Linked DNA regions of Macaca mulatta. The protein of the gene in region 3 binds, or shares a complex with, the protein of the main gene of each other region. Links are inferred from orthologs where the notes say so. Each region holds a gene or a part of one and is shown on either strand. Other genes may lie near its edges.

The links.
Region 1: STAC3 (region 3) and CACNG1 share a complex: the UniProt entries of both Homo sapiens proteins name them as parts of the calcium channel complex. The link is inferred for Macaca mulatta from reciprocal best matches to the Homo sapiens genes STAC3 and CACNG1.
Region 2: STAC3 (region 3) and CACNB1 share a complex: the UniProt entries of both Homo sapiens proteins name them as parts of the calcium channel complex. The link is inferred for Macaca mulatta from reciprocal best matches to the Homo sapiens genes STAC3 and CACNB1.
Region 4: STAC3 (region 3) and CACNB2 share a complex: the UniProt entries of both Homo sapiens proteins name them as parts of the calcium channel complex. The link is inferred for Macaca mulatta from reciprocal best matches to the Homo sapiens genes STAC3 and CACNB2.

What each region holds. Positions count from the first base shown.
Region 1 is NC_133421.1:76,795,432-76,799,708, reverse strand, and holds the start of CACNG1 (voltage-dependent calcium channel gamma-1 subunit), read right to left. Parts: upstream 2,856-4,277; 5' UTR 2,663-2,855; coding exon 2,434-2,662; intron 1-2,433. UniProt on the Homo sapiens protein: Regulatory subunit of the voltage-gated calcium channel that gives rise to L-type calcium currents in skeletal muscle. Regulates channel inactivation kinetics.
Region 2 is NC_133421.1:63,521,933-63,525,493, forward strand, and holds part of CACNB1 (voltage-dependent L-type calcium channel subunit beta-1), read right to left. Parts: intron 2,459-3,561; exon of another isoform or gene 2,343-2,458; coding exon of another isoform or gene 2,313-2,342; intron 532-2,312; coding exon 412-531; intron 1-411. UniProt on the Homo sapiens protein: Regulatory subunit of L-type calcium channels. Regulates the activity of L-type calcium channels that contain CACNA1A as pore-forming subunit.
Region 3 is NC_133416.1:64,408,966-64,413,013, forward strand, and holds the start of STAC3 (SH3 and cysteine-rich domain-containing protein 3), read right to left. Parts: upstream 2,824-4,048; 5' UTR 2,628-2,823; intron 1,283-2,627; exon of another isoform or gene 1,282-1,282; coding exon of another isoform or gene 1,216-1,281; intron 955-1,215; coding exon of another isoform or gene 904-954; coding exon 687-903; intron 451-686; coding exon 353-450; intron 1-352. UniProt on the Homo sapiens protein: Required for normal excitation-contraction coupling in skeletal muscle and for normal muscle contraction in response to membrane depolarization. Required for normal Ca(2+) release from the sarcplasmic reticulum, which ultimately leads to muscle contraction.
Region 4 is NC_133414.1:19,966,807-19,970,903, forward strand, and holds the start of CACNB2 (voltage-dependent L-type calcium channel subunit beta-2), read left to right. Parts: upstream 1-1,255; 5' UTR 1,256-1,587; coding exon 1,588-1,656; intron 1,657-2,478; coding exon 2,479-2,598; intron 2,599-4,097. UniProt on the Homo sapiens protein: Beta subunit of voltage-dependent calcium channels which contributes to the function of the calcium channel by increasing peak calcium current. Plays a role in shifting voltage dependencies of activation and inactivation of the channel.

The DNA.
Region 1 (4,277 bases), on a different chromosome or scaffold from region 3:
TCCAGAGTTCTGAAAATGTTGATTCTGACCATTTCCACCAGCCTTCTCATTGCTTTTATGGAGAAGAAGATTTTTGGAAGTTCTTTTTCTCTATCATCTTTTTCGTGATGTCATTCAAAGTTGAAACATGTAAAGCATTTACAACAATATTCGGCACATAGGGTTACGTGTATGTGCCATTATTATTGTTGTTGTTGTTAATAATAAATGAGAGGCCACATATGAACCCGCTTCCTCCCTCCAGACAAGAATGGTCCCAGGGGGCACAAGAAGGGCATATGGGGAAGGAGAAAGATGTCCATTTGCAGAGAAAAGAGAGGGAAAAAGGCAGGAACATATTTTGGAAGATGACTGGGAGAAAGGTAGTGCTCAGTGTCACAAGTGTGGGAAGTATGGTTCATAGCTGGTTAGGCTAAGAAGGCAAAGAGGTAGATCCTGGTCAGGCTCAAGGCCTGTTGGTCCAACAAGCAATGCCTGTTGGTCCCCTGTAATTGGTCTAGTCACCTCTCACCAGCCTGTCTCTTCCTTGTGTGGACTCTGCTCACTGCCCAGTCCTCTGCTCTGACTTTAAAAGGCAGATGGTTCCAAGGACGGGTGAACAGGACTGTAACAGCACGTCCCTATGCGCGGTCCCTGAAGAAGCTGCCCTGCCCTGCCCTGCCCAGGGGAGTTGGCTGGAGGGATTGCCTGTTTATGGGTGTGCTTGGCAGTCGCCAAGGGGCATGGGCATCCGGGCTATGCGATACCCTGCCAGCACATGGCCACACCTGTCACCCTCAGCCCTGGGACTCGGTGTTTCTATAACAGTTGGGCACTTACGAGTCTTCTGGGCGTCCAGTGGGCGTGAATGAGGGAGGGGATCTCTGGAGCAAGCAGCAGGGAAAGAAGAGGGAGCAGAGATATGGGAGGTTGGGGTGTTGGCTCTTTGGTTCACATGCAGACTGCAAGATCTTTGGGGACTCAGCCCTAGTGTCCTTGAAGGACAGGTTTCAAGGAACACCAAAGTCTGGTAAAAGAGGGAATAATCCTGAAAACCAGGTGGGACATCACACTGACATAACCCTGCTCCACTGCCACTGTGGATGGGCGTCTGTAAACCTGGGAAGGGATCTTACATTGCTGAGAGTCAGTCCCATATTTTATAGAGGAAGAAGCAGAGGCTGAGATGATCTTTGTCCTCGCTGGATGGTCATTTGAGGGTAATGGGCAATGGTGACTAGATCCCTGGCCGCCTGGTCTCCACGTAGCACCCTTTCCTCTAAAGTGCTGTATTTGCTAAGAATCCAGAAGCCTCGGCATTTGCAGAATAGAGGCTAGTCATGCAACTACCAGGTACTCCTGAAAAGGAGCTTACCTTCGACATGTGGTTCGGTCACATGGTAGGAAATCGAGGAATACGCTTAAATTACAGGGTGAGGAAATGCTTTGTAACTCTGACAGGGTCTGAGCTAACGGAGGATGCATAATGGACTGACGTCCTGACAAAAGGGCGGGCGGAGGCCAGGCACGGTGGCTCACGCCTGTAATCCTAGCACTTCGGGAGGCCAAGGCAGGTGGATCACCTGAGGTCAGGGGTTCAAGACCAGCCTGGTCAACATGCCAAAACCCCGTCTGTACTGAAAGTATAAAACTTAGATGGGTGTGGCGGCGCATGCCTGTAATCCCAGCTACTGGGGAAGCCAAGGCAGGAGAATCACTTGAGTCCAGGAGGCGGAGGTTGCAGTGAGCCAAGATTGTACCACTGCATTCCAGCCTGGGCGACAGGGCAAAACTCTGTCTCAAAAAAAAAAAAAAAAAAAAAAAAAAAAGGTAGGGGCAGGTGGCTCACCCACAGCCACGTCCTGCTTCACAGGCATTCAACCTGTGCAGCTTCTCCAGGCCCAGGGCCCACAAGGGTCCATGCTTGGATTCATGTGCTGCTATCGCTGCCTTGAAATCCTTGGTAATTTGGAGCAAGGAACCCTGCATTTTCATTTTGCACAGGACCCTGCATATTCCGTCGCCTGTCCTCTCTCCTCCCCTGCCTTGAGGCCAGGGACAAACCTGCCAGCTCCATGGTTTCCCCCAGCCTGAGGACACAGAGCCACCCAGCATGTCTTTGCAGGGAGAGAGTGACCAGATGGAGCCCAGAAGTCCCTGGGCTGGTAGAGCTGCGGTTCCCGTCTTGAGCCTGCCCAGCTCTCTGTTCTGGGCGAAAAGCCCCAGGGTCCAGCCAGACAGAAATAGCTGGGACAAACGCCCTCGTCTTACAACCCAGCCCCAGCCACCAGCACAGCACATGCAATTCAGATCTTCTTCCCTGGGCAGAAAGGGCTGGGCGGCTGCCCTATCTCTAGCCTGAGAAACCTGCCTTCCTTGGCATGGGCAAATTTGTCCGGGGGACGACGGGGAAGGGCGGGAGGTGGGGATCGGGACGGAGGGTGGGTACGTTACCCCCGGGCAGGGTGATGGGCCCGCAGGTCTTGCTGTCGTCCATGGGGATGCGCTTGGTACAAATCCGCCAGAGGCCGAAGTGGGCCGCCTCGCAGGTGGTGTTGTGGTGCTCCATGTGGGGGCTCAGCACAGCCCAGTGGTCGGTTACCACGGCCGTCATGGCCAGCACGATGCCTGCCAGGATGCAGAAGAGGGTCACGCGGACCTTCAGCGTTTTGGTCTGGGACATGGTGGTCGCCGAGGCGTGGGTGCCCTGGGCAGGGTCCGGCGGCTGCGTCTCCTCCGGCAGGTGACAGCCGAGCTGGGGGGTGGCGGTGGTTGTCGAGTTGGGAGTGGCCACTAAGTTTAGTGTGCCTGGCTGAGCCAGAGTGGGCTGGCCCTGGGGCTGAGGGACGCGGGATGTGCTGAGCAGCTGCCCAGACGCGTCAGGGGCCTGAGGAAGGCTGCTATTAATGCCCCTCTCCAGGCGTGGCACCGGGGACGGCTTCTGCTCGGGTTTCAGCGCTGTCTGCCCCTCTGGGAGCCAGAAATACCCCAGTGGGGGGCGGGGCAAGGAGAGAAGGCTCTGGATGGTGGATTGAGGCCTCTATGGAGTAGCAGCTCAGGGTGCCTGAGTTGGGAGGGGGCGAGGGGTGGGCAGCAGGGCCCCAGGGGTGGAGATCTGTCTGCTCTGGGCTGATGGGAAAGGGCACCCCAGGCCAGGGGAGGAGACCAGGAGCTGCAGGCTGCACGGCCGTCCCGGGCTCCCACATTGTAAGCCTACTACCGGCGGGGCAGTGAGTAGGTTCTCATCCTGGGATCTGGGGGGCCTAGGATTCTGTCTAGGGACATCCCAGGGACCCTGTCCGGGGCCTGTGGAGTCCACCTCTCAGGCAAGCGTTTTAGCCACAAACCCCACAGCATCCCGCAAACCACAGGAAGATTTTAGGTGGTTCCCAGGCCTGGCCTTACCCAACTCTGATCCCTCCACGAGAACATTACTTCCTTTTCAATTCTCTTTCCATCCCCAAAACTGGGTCCAGAGCAGAGCTCCGTTCGAGGTCAGTGTCATTACTGCCCGCAAAGTGTCCTCTGAAACAAAGCGAGAACGGCCTGAAGAGGACGAGGAATCCTGCTGGACTTGGTTGTTCTGTTTTCAGGGCACTGTGTTTGGTTTTGCCTTCTACTAACAGCAGGTGATAACGATTTTCCAGTTACGTTTTAATTTGCAAAATATGTGTGTGAGTGAAAAAGAACGAATAGGTTGATTTATAGGGGATCATCAGGAGCTCATGGGTGTGCGGATATGGCAGAGAACACAGAAAGCCTGGGATCGACCACCCTCCGAGGGTCCTGTGCGCCTGCCTGGCCCCCAGGCCTGTCCCCGAGGCTGCGGCCTCTACGTCTCTCCTGGGTTGTGCCATCTCTCCCTTCTCAGCTCACTGGGTGGCCCTTTTTGGGTGTAGCCGAGAGGCTGATGCATGATCAGGAATAGCCTCCTGAGCTGGGTGGGGCCTTGAACTTCAAAATTCTTGCCTCAGATTGACACGATTTACAGAGACTCTGCCCATGTGGACAGAAACATTTCGGCCTCCAGCCTTGGAATCACAGAAAGTTCATGATGATGATAATAGGAGCAGTGGCTCATCTTCAGTGAGTGCTTACTATCTAACAGGCACTCTGCTGAGCCTTCATCCATCATCGCAGTTACTCTTCACACCAAATCCACAAGGGGACTGTGGCTGTTTTTGCCATTTCACAGTAACACAACTGTTACTGCCATTTCACAGACAAGGACATGGACACTCAGAGACGTGAAGTCACTTGTCTAAGGTCACACAGCGGGAAAATGAGGAAGCCAGGTT
Region 2 (3,561 bases), on a different chromosome or scaffold from region 3:
GGCGTTGTGGTGCACGCCTGTAATCCCAGCTATTCGGGAGGCTGAGGCAGGAGAATCACTTGAACTTGGGAGGTGGAGGTCGCAGTGAGCTGAGATCACGCCACTGCATGCCAGCCTGGGTGACAGAGCAAGACTGCATCTCAAAAAAAAAAAAAAAAAGAAAAAGAAATTTTTAGCACTTCTCAAGCGCTTATTGTGTGTGGAAACAGTATAATAACAGGCACTTATTATACTTATTATACTGTATAACCAGGCAGGTATTATAGCCCACGTTGTGCAGGTGAAGACAGAGACGCAAGGTTCAGGGGTACTAGGAAGTGGCTGAGTCAAGACTTGGCCCTGGGTCTGCCCGGGCTCTCTCTATGGCCCAGGGAAATCATGCCAGCACGCCCCTTCCCACATCTTTCTCACCTTGGCCTTCTCGAGCTGTGCTAATGCCTGGCGCTCTGCTTCTTTCCTTAAGGCTTCCCGGTCCTCCTCCAGAGATACATCAGAGTCCGATGGACGGCTGGTGTAGGACTCCGCTGAGCCCTGAAAATACAGAGAGCCAGATCAGGGCCATTGCTGCCTCTCCCAGCTCCTGGGCCTGGGAAGGCATGGAGGTGCCACCCATCATGGATGCCTCTAGCCCCAGCCAGCCCAGCATGACGCCACAAGGGCTAAGAGAAGGTGGTATTAGGTGGAAGGGACCAGGAGCTGAGATTTCTCAGGCCCCTGGGGAAAGTGTGGCCCTAGTGAGGGTGACAGCAGCAAGCAGGAGATGAAGGCAGGCCCAAGGACAGCTGCTTGGGGCCCAGGGAGGGGTGGGAACCTGATAGGGGCACAAGGCAAGGGAGGAATGCCAGGGACGAGTCTCTACTCCCACTGCTCCTTCCCTCCCCTGCCCCCAGCACCCACTGAGATAGACTCAGCCGAGGTCCAGTGGCATCCATTCCAGGGACTGCAGCCACCAGCTTCGGCCTGAGCTTTCTGCACTATCAGCCGCGGATGGCCTGCTCCACAGGATGGGGCCACCACAGATTTTGCCAACTTCTGTTCAAGGGTAGAGGGAGATAGACTCCTACCTCCCCTGCTCCTTTACCTGGTACTGCCAAAATCAAACTTCACTACTTAGAGCCCCAATCCTCAGGCTCTCCTAGGACACAAGAGAACCCAAGATTTCCAGGCTGGTGCAGACTGAAGAGGCAAGTTAAGAGCAGGATATGGGACAGGGCTTTCCCTGAGATGAGGGCTGCTGGGTGCCAGGCAGCTGGCTTTGACCACAGTGACCAACCCAGAGCACGAGGGACTCCTTTAGGGATGCACACATATGTGTAAGACACATGTCGCCCATACAGACCTGGTAGTGGGAATGCATGTGCTTATTCACGTGTGTGCGAGGATGTGCAAGTACAAGTGTGTGGAGGAGGGCGTGCTCTATAGTTGGCTACATATGACCACATGTGTAGAGCCACATGCGAGTGTATTGGCGGGGGCCTCCCAGATATCTATGACCCTGAGGGTGGGGGACATGTGAGTGCAGGAGTAAGGAAGTGTGGATTCGTGTGACTATGTGGGAGTGGTGTTGGACAAGGCATAGGAGGTTATGTGGCAAAAGAGGAGGACTGCAGAGATATAGGGGTTCTTTCCTGAGGGTATAAAAGGGTCACTTGGCCAGGAATGTCCATGAGTTTGGCATGGAGGGAACCTGGGAAAGACAGAAGACAAAGTCCCACCTCTCCCCAGGGGCCCCAGGTCATTAGCTGGTGCAGCTCCCCATCTCTTTCCCAGCCAAATCATGAAAATGGGAGACCCGCGGGGGAAGGGTTGGGGTGGGGCGAGAGGCATGAAGGAGGGAGAGAAAACCAGCATAGCTCCCACTCTCCACCCTGATGGGAGCACACAGAGTCAAAGAGCCAGGGAAACAGGGAGACAGACTAGCAGAGAGGCACTCATCGACCCCAACACACATGCGGGCACGCGCATTCACACACACACACTCACCAACTCCAACACAGACGCAGGCCCATGCACGCGCACACTCACCGACCCCAACACACACACAGTTACATGCACACACGCAGACACACATGTGCGGGCAGACACACACACACATATGCAGACACACAGGTGCACGCGGATGCACACGTAGGCACATGCACACATACACATATGCAGACACACGCATGCGCATACACACGCATACATCAGAAATGGCAGAAGACAGGAAACAGTGAGGAGGCATGGAGACAGGCTGGAGGAAAGGCCGCCCTCCGCCAGCTTTCCTGAGAGGCTGTTCTACCCGCCGCCACCCCACTCCATCCCCAGCTCACCACCACCAGGGTCCGGCTGGGCGCCTCCATCCCGGCGCCCTCAGTGCCTGGCCCTGCTGGCCTAGGGGGTGGCCCAAACTGCCCGTTCCCTCGGGGGCTCAGGTTACAAGCAGAGTTGCTACATGTGCAAACTGCTAGGGTATATTTAGCTCAGAGATGTGGCAAGGACTGCTCCCCCACCACTCCCCACCACCTACCGGGGATCAGAGCTGGGGAGCTAAAAGGAGGAAGAACTGGAGGCTGGGGTCTGACTCCCTGGGTTGGCAAACACTGAAGGAGCCAAGGTCCTTTTCTGCCAAGAGGGGCAATAAAAGCACAGCGTCATTCTTCCTAGCCCTGGCCAAGTCCTGCAACAGGAGGGATGAGGGAGTGATTGAAGAAAGGACTTCCTGTCTGTTCCTATACTTAGAAAAGACTAGAATGAAGCCTCCCCTTCCCGAAGCTCCCAAGTCAGACTGAGGCTCACATGTGCCAAGTGCTGTAGAGACAGAAGAATCAGAAAGAAGGGCCTCACTCTAATTAGTGGTGGATCTGCCTGGCATCACTCTCGCTCCTGGCCCAAGGTGGAAGGGAGGGGCTCATCTCCAGAGGACCCCTCCTCTGTGCTGTCTTCTGCCCTCGAATGCCCTGCCCATTTCCTCTTCAATGCACGCCTTTTCCTTGTCTAATTCCAAGCCCCTCTCGCCTTTTTTGGGTACCAGGCTTTGGTGAGATGCTAAGTAGTCATAGCAACCACATGCCTCTCTCCGTGCCTCACCCTGAGCCTAAGATTGACAGAGAGATAAGAGCAGCCACTTACTGACCGAGCACAGGAGACCCCAGAAAGCTACTCTCAGTTACACCCTTTCAGGCAGTGGTGCTGCGCTACCGTCTTCTCTATTATAAAATTAACAGCCTCATGCCTCAACCACCCCCATCCCCGTCACCATCACCCTTTCTCTGTGCTTCTTAGATAGTCAAGTCTTGAGGTGAGGAGCGTGTTTCCCTGACCAGGACCTCACCAGGACTACAGGGACCCAAACATCCTCGCTCTGCTTTTCCTAGGACCTGCCTCCACCCCACCCTGTCACAGATTCTGGGGGAGGACATGGAAGCAGACAGCCGGCAGGGGGAGTGGGTGACAGCCCGAAGCAAGCTAGAGGGAGGCAGGCCAGGCTGTCCCTGAATGAGATGACGCAGGCCAGCAGGCAGCAGGGGAGGGTGCCTGGTGCTGGGGGAGGGGCCAGGCAGGGGCGGGGGCTGAGCGAGT
Region 3 (4,048 bases):
GGGGTAGCTGGTGACATGTCTCCTCCTTTCTTTTTTTTTCGCTCTGTCACCCAGGCTGGAGTGCAGTGGTGCAATCTCAGCTCACTGCAAGCTCCGCCTCCCGGGTTCACGCCATTCTCCTGCCTCAGCCTCCCGAGTAGCTGGGACTACAGGTGCCCGCCACCACGTCCGGCTAATTTTTTGTATTTTTTAGTAGAGACAGGGTTTCACTGTGTTAACCAGGATGGTCTCCATCTCCTGACCTCGTGATCCGCCTGCCTCGGCCTCCCAAAGTGCTGGGATTACAGGTGTGAGCCACTGTGCCCGTCCATGTCACCTCTTTTCTACACCTTGTTCCCCAGAGCCTACTCACGATCTTGCCGAAGCATCTCTGCATTTCCACATAGGACTGACAGTGTTCATGGATGTTGGTTTTGCAGTTCTTACAGCGAAGCCCAAACTTGTTGTTGACTTGGGAGAGGGGGAGAAAATTCAGATAAGATTCCAGATTGCCCTTTCCCTTTGTACCACTGCTGCTACTCTTAGGTTCCCTTTTCTGTCTGGGACCTTACTTGCTCAATCTCTAACAGCATTGCCTTACACCAACTCTAGCCACAGCCCATCTGCTACAAATACTCCTCTTGTATGCCCTCTCCCCAACCTCTGCCTTCAACATCATACTCTCTTCACTCCCCTTTATGACTCACGAACAATCATCCGGGCACAGACATCACAGAACTTTGGCTTCTTGAAGAAATGATCTTTGAATTTGTGGGGCTTATCGTTGACCAGCTTAGGAGGTTCTGGGAGTGGCTCCTCCTCCTCCTCTTCTTCTTCTTCCTCTTCCTCATAAATGTAGTAGATGGGCCCACCCCCAGCTCCCACTGCCTCCCCATTGGCCTGGGGCTCTGGGGGAAGTTCCATTTCCTTTGTCCCTGTAGAACCCTTCCTGAGTAACTGCTTCAGCCGCTGTAGCTGAGGGAGGGAGTGAAGAAAACCCAACGTTAAAAGGACTTGTCACCCTCTCTAGAGTAGGGGGGTGTTAGAGCAAACAGACAGTTTTCTAGTTTTGGGCAAGGAATGTACCCCAGGATTAGGCAGGTATTGGTATTGGGGACTGCAGGTGCTGGCCAGCAAAACATGAGTCACACACAAATGAGATCAATTTAAGCACTCTTCTTCAGCTGTAAAGGTTTCCTGGCCCCCCACACCCAGTGGTCACAGGCCCAGACTCACCCCGCTTTGCCGAGTCTCTGCTGGGAAAGAGGGCTTAGGGGACTCCAGCACCTCCTTTTCTGTCATCCTGCAAGAGGTTGGACCCCACTATGAAATCTAATCCCTTTCACTCTTCTCCCCCTTATTTCTGTCCCTTGCAGTAGGGCGGTACTCAAAGGGAAGGTTTTTGGAGAAACGTGATTAGAGATTTTGTTGTTGTTGAGATGGGGTTTCACTCTGTCACCCAGGTTGGAGTGCAGTGGCATGATCATGGCTCACTGCAGCCTTGACCTCCCAGCCTGAAGCAATCCCCCTACCTCAGCTTCCTGAGTAGCTGGAACACAAGGTGCACACTACCTGGCTACCTTTTTATTTTTTGTAGAGACATGGTCTTGCTTTGTTGCCTAGGCTTACCCGAACTAGCTCAAGCAATCCTCCCGTTTCAACCCCCAAAGTGTTGAGATTCCAGGCGTGAGCCACTGCACTGGGCCAAATACAGATCATTTGGCAGGTTTTATTAACAGATTTCATGGAAGTCTAGGAAAAAGCCCAACATGACCAGGCGCGGTGGTGCATGCCTGTAATCCCAGCACTTTGGGAGGCTGAGGCGGGCAGATCACTAGAGATCAGGAGTTCAAGACTAGCCTGGCCAACATGGTGAAACCCCATCTCTACTAAATATACAAAAATTAGCCGGGCGTGATGGTGGACACCAGTAATTCCATCTACTCAGGAAGCTAAGGAAGGAGAATCGCTTGAACCCAGGAGGTTGCAGTGAGCCAGAATTGTGCCACTGCCCTCCAGCCTGGGTGACAGAGCAAGACTCCATCTCAAAAAAAATAAAAAATAATAAATAAATAAATAAATCCCAACAGACTAAAGAGCTCCCCAATTAGTTCCTCAAACTGATACTCATCCTTCCATCCTGAGGGGAGACCCCATAGTTTACAGCCCTTACAGTGTTCAAGGCTGCATGGTTTATGTTATTTTCCTATAGGTACTTTGTTTCTCTTGGGAATCTGTGGGCAACAGAGATGTGATGCATACCTTCCCAGATCTCCTCTCTTCAAGAGGTTTAATGTGTGTCCTCGTGTGCGCACAAGGAAGGATGGACTGCAGACATTTGTCCTCCCCTACTTCTTTCTTGAGCCCTGGGGGCCCTGTGCCTAGTTCTGTCCCAGCCTGCCTCAGGGCTCAGCTATTTTAAGTTTTCAGGGTAATATGAGCCTTTCCTTCCCTTACTACTTCATTCCCTTTACCCCACCCCCACCCCCCCTCCAATCCTAACTCATCCTAGAGTAGAATAATAATTTTACTCCTAAAACCCAAACGACTCACAGACAAGGAAAGAAATGAAGAAGCTGAATAGATTATAGATCAGGGCAGCTGGCGTGAGCAGTCGTGGAAATCGAGAGGATGAAGAGGTAACTTACGTTTGGGATTCCCTAAATCAGTCCACAGTCTGTAGAGGGAGCTGGGAGCCCCGAGGCCTTGATGGTGGTGCTGGGGAAAAACTGGTCCTCTTCCTTGGGGGCTAAGCCCCCCCAGTACCCTGTGTTCACACCAGCTACCCAGTCGCTATTTGTAGACCTCCTAACCTCCTGCCTTGGTGTCAGGGCTGAAATGACAGGGCTGGAGGAAAGTGAACAGCTGAGAAACACAGCTGACACAGAGAAATTGGACACTGAGAGGTCTGGGGCAGGGCTGGACCCTAACTCCTCCCATCCCTCCAGAGCTGCTGTTCCTTGATTCTTCATCTAAGGTGAACAGGTGAATAATGGCCAAATTCAGCAAGGGACAGTTTCTGTTCATGCTCATATAACATTTAAAGGGAGTTTATTTTTATTTTTCATTTATTTTTTGAGACAGGGTAAAAAAAAAAAAAAAAGACTAATTCGAACGCATAGAGCTCTCCTATCAGCCATACTAGATGGCTTTCTTTTTTTTTTTTTTTTTTGAGACAGAGTCTTGCTCTTGTCACCCAGGCTGGAGTGCAATGAAGTGATCCGGACTCACTGCAACCTCCCAGGTTCAAGCGATTCTCCTGCCTCAGCCTCCTAAGCAGCTGGGATTACAGGCGCCCACCACCATGCCCAGGTAATGTTTGTATTTTTAGTAGAGACGGGGTTTCACCATGTTGGCCAGGTTGGTCTCAAACCCCTGACCTCAGGTGATCTGCCTGCCTCGGCCTTCCAAAGTGCTAGGATTACAGGCGTGGGTCACCGTGCATGGTTAGATTGCTTTTTATCTGTGGGTGGTTGGAGAAGTACTTTGCTATCCTGTAAGAAAGTGAAGAATATGTAGTATTGCTTCATTCCCTCCATCAGCTCCCAGAGACATCTCCCCACCCTCCTTCTTGCAAAATTTTGTCCTCAGGGTGAATGGAATTACCAGGGCTATTAAAAAGGGCCAGTTAACACTAGACAGAAGGATATAGCTGCCACATAAGGAATCTTTTTAATAATTTCTAAGTAATGTCCCCTTCCTCATGAGAACTGCAAACTCTTAAAGGTAGGATGGCCAACCTCACACTTCCTAAACCCTTTTGATTCCCTGATTCCATCTCCCACCTTTGATGCCTCAGTATGTAACTGATGGATCAAAGAGACAGATGCCATTCTGATCTCACAGGGGTTTACCCTTCTCCTACTCTTTGGGCTGTGACATAGATGAAAGAGGAGATACTCCCATCTCAGGGGAGAGCAATTTAGAGGTGGCAATGCAGTGCTGCTTTATTCCTTGTATCTGTAAGAAATAAAGGACTGTGTTGGAGACTGAGTCAGGCAAGCTCCTGTAGGACCATGGTTAGGGATACAGCTACTTGGACCCAAGAGATTTCCAGGGCAACATGCTT
Region 4 (4,097 bases), on a different chromosome or scaffold from region 3:
AGGTACAATTAATCACTAACTTTCATTCTGAAACCCCTATTCTATGTGTTTCTAGCATTTGGCTCTTGAAGATTATATTAGTGCAGAGTGCCAAGTGGGGAGGGAGGAAGATTTTTTGAGATGGGGGGGTCTCTCTATGTTGCCCAGGCTGGTCTCGAACTCATGGGCTCAAGCAGTCCTCCCACTTCGGCCTCCCAAAGTGCTAGGATTACAGTCGTGAGCCATTGCACCCAGCCGTGGTTCTTAAGTATTCTTAAGAACACATTTTTTTTTCATTTTTATTTGTACAAAATCTTCTCCCACCACCCTCAAACAAATGCAGTTTAGACTACAGTGATAGCATTTTGTTTATGTCAAGAAAACAAAGTGTATTTCTTTACAAGTAAACTTTGAAAATGCAATTTCATTAGTACAGGAAATTAATAACTTTAGTGTCTTTCCTTCTTCAGCCTCACTCCCCTCATCTACAAGCAGAGTTGGGACTCAATTATTCTGTGAATTTTAACTCCAACTAATAAATTAACCAAGCTTTGAAATTTCTTTGTAAGTATGGTTATAACAATTCACATTGCTGTTTATGCCAGTGGCTTTATTTCAAATGGTAGTTTCTCAGTTGGAGAAGCAGTTCGAAGTCATTTTGAGCTCCGTTAAACTCATTGCTTTATAGAGCTGTGATTACTTTCATGTCCTAATTAAATGGCCACGTCTCTCTCTCGCATCTTGTTTGGAAAGTCACAAGCAATAAAGAACTGTGTTATATTATGACTGATGAGCATTATTTGATTTTTGCTATGCAATATTGCATATGATATTTACTACCTGTGAACCTGCTTTCAGCATAGGACACAGTTTCTGGAGCAGGTAATGGAAAGGGATTATTAAAGGAAACGATCTCATGCTTTGTTTTTGAGAGAAGGTTTCATCTGAAACAGAAACAGACACACATACCACGAGCCCGGTTACTATAGAACCGAAGAGACCTTTCCAGCTGTTTACACTTCGGATGTAAAATGGCAATTTGACATAGACTAACAGTGTGATGTGAGCATCTGCGTAAAAAGGCGACATATGGAGCATGCCCAGTGTGGGAGTGCGTCCTCCTCCCTCCGCCTCCCCCCTTCCCCTCGAGATCTCCAAAGATAAGGCTTGAACTTTGCACTTGCAAATGTCACTGCATACGTTTTTGCACTAGTTTTTTTTTTTTTTTTTCCTGCGATTCTTTTACAACTAATTTCCTTTAACAATTTGAGCGCAGGGAAGAGAATGTTTAGGGTTATGAGATGCATTAAGTTTAGAACGAGTTGATGCCCGGCTTCTGAATGCACTTGAAGTCTTCTTTATTTTTAAAGAAATATAAAGCACTCGAGTGTGTGTTTTCAGCCCCTCCTGGAAAGGGAAAATAAGAATTTCCCTGGATGGGAGTCCTCTGGGGCAGGGAGTGAAAGCCCCGGAGGCAGAAAGGGACGGAGCAGAGGGGCTTGCCCAGAGCATGGATAGGAAAGGAGCTGGGGTTCTCCGGGGCTCAGCGCGCACTGAGAACCTGTGCCCGGGGCTGCAGCTGCGGACGATAAAGGCGCTGTCTGGCTCATGAAGGCCACCTGGATCAGGCTTCTGAAAAGAGCCAAGGGAGGAAGGCTGAAGAATTCTGATATCTGTGTAAGCGCAAGGGCTTTCGTTTGGGGGGAGAGGTTATTGTGTTCTGCTTTTCTGTTGTTGCAGTGAGTGCAGGTAGAGAGGGTGGTTTGATTTGGTTAATCGGATCAAGATTGCAAGAGAGGGAAGCTAGGGAGATTCATCTCGTTTTTTGAGCTCCTTTCCCTGTGTTATGATTAATTGCCAGATGAGCTATCCCAGGCAGGTGTTTTCTGTAGACGGCTTTTTATTAAATCTAGGTAAAGGTATTTTAAAATGTGTTGCTGGAAGATGGAGTGAAGTTAGCTGCTAGTATCTTACAGTTTTATCAGAGAAAACAGCAGGTGTATAAAAAGGTAAACAAGGATTCTTCAGATTAAAGTGGGAATCATGTCATGGTAGTGACATTTGGGAGAGTTCAAGTTGATAACTCAGACTTTCTTTCATGTTTTTGTTAGGCTTAATGTCTTTCTGGTTTTAAATACCTGCTTTAGCATGTAGATTGTTCTTGAAGCTATCCTTGAAACCCATCGTTGTCCTTCAGTTCTGCACTGCACCATCAAGCTGTTTAATTATAAAAGCAACTTGTTCTGGCTTCCAGGAAGGGTGGTTTTTTTGAATATAAAGCTTAGGAAGGAATGGCAACTCAGTAGACACAACTATTCTATTGAATGTCTGCAAATCAGAGCATGGTTTTCTAGATAGGTTGCTGCAAAATGAATTATTTTCTCCTCTTTTCAGGAACGTATAGCACAATCCGGGAAGCTAACTGCTGTGTCGATGAGACTTTTCCAATGCAAACATCATAGATTGAATCTACTTTAAAATGTACATTTTCCTCTCCAGGGTTCGGCAGACTCCTACACTAGCCGTCCATCCGATTCCGATGTATCTCTGGAGGAGGACCGGGAAGCAGTGCGCAGAGAAGCGGAGCGGCAGGCCCAGGCACAGTTGGAAAAAGCAAAGGTAAAATCATTTCCTGCCTGCCAAGATCTTTCTTTGCAAGTTGTGCTGTGCCCCTGATAGACCACCTGTGGAAGTTTCCCCTAAAGCTTGTTTGATCTATTAGAGCATTTCATCGTCGGGTTTTAGAAAGGTACAAGAAATGGAGCCTAGTTTCTTCCCTTAGTAGAAAAGGGAAGTGTGTTGTGTAAGACTGGTCGTCTATGTTGTTTTATAATCCAAGCAACTCGTTTCTGTGGGTGGATGGCTTATTTGGACACGTACGAAAGGATCCCTGAATGTGCAAAGAGGAAAAACGGCACCTAATATCAACACATTTTACTTCATTTCCCCAGTAAATTATATCTCTGTTAAGAAAAAAAAAAAAAAAAAAAAAAAAAACAGACTGACTTCAAGCTATTGTTTATTTTCTTAGACTTGAACAGTTTTTCCCCTGAATTTTACTTCATAGGTGTTTTATATTAGTATCCTCTTACTTTCAAAATTGATTACATTATGCTTTTCAAAGAGCAACAGAGGATTTTATTGATTTTTAGAAGTTTCTTCTCTTAGAACATGTTCTTCTGCAGGATAAAGTGTGTATATATGGAAGGGAGACTGCAAAGCAGCTATGAAATAGATAGTTCCAGGATTTATCTCAGGTCTTGTCTCATTTAACTCATTGCAACGATTTGAATTCTTTTTCCCATGCTGTCCTTGGAATAGTGGCGATTTCTAAGGCATAGATTGTTCGAGTTGAAGGTAGCTTGGTTTTTGGGATACTCAGTCGCTTCCCAATGAACCTATTTTAACATGGTTGTTGATTTTCCTTTGAAAAACTTGTTTTGAAAAAGGCTAAGTGCCTTGTTGATCGTGCTAGAAATACCAGGATAGCATTTCTGCTGGCTGCTTCATCTCTGAGATGAGTAGAATCTATGTGTGTTGCTATGGGAATTGTGGTTAGGAGATTCTGGTTTGAATGCATGGACAGCCCTTATGTAATACATTATTCATGACCTCTAGCGCGGCTGCCATCCTAGTCTACTGAGGAACTGCCAGGAGACCTTGACTTCTAAAAAGCAGTACTTCTGTATATCAGAATGATGTTCTTACCTCAACTGGCAGGGAAATTTTCTCCAGGACTGACAGTCTTCTCTGAAAGGCAGTTCATAAATAGCAGATGCAGGGAGGGTTTTGTGATGGTGGAAACTGGTAAAACTGGATGTGGCCCAGTTGCCAACAACGAATCTGCTCTACCAATGTTAGCCACTTAGAACATTGTGAAGTTGAAATGAAATAATGAAGAACATTAAATAATGTATGACAGTCAGCACTGTAGTTAATATAGGTTGCAGCTGAGAGTCTGAATTCTATATTCTATATTTTGCATTGTGTGTAAAGAAAAGTAAGAAAAAACTACAATTTGTATTCTGAAAATAAGATTGTTCTATTTGTGGCTAATTTATTCATGTAAGTTTCACATACCAAAATTGAACAGTTTCTCGGGCTCATGTCCCATCATG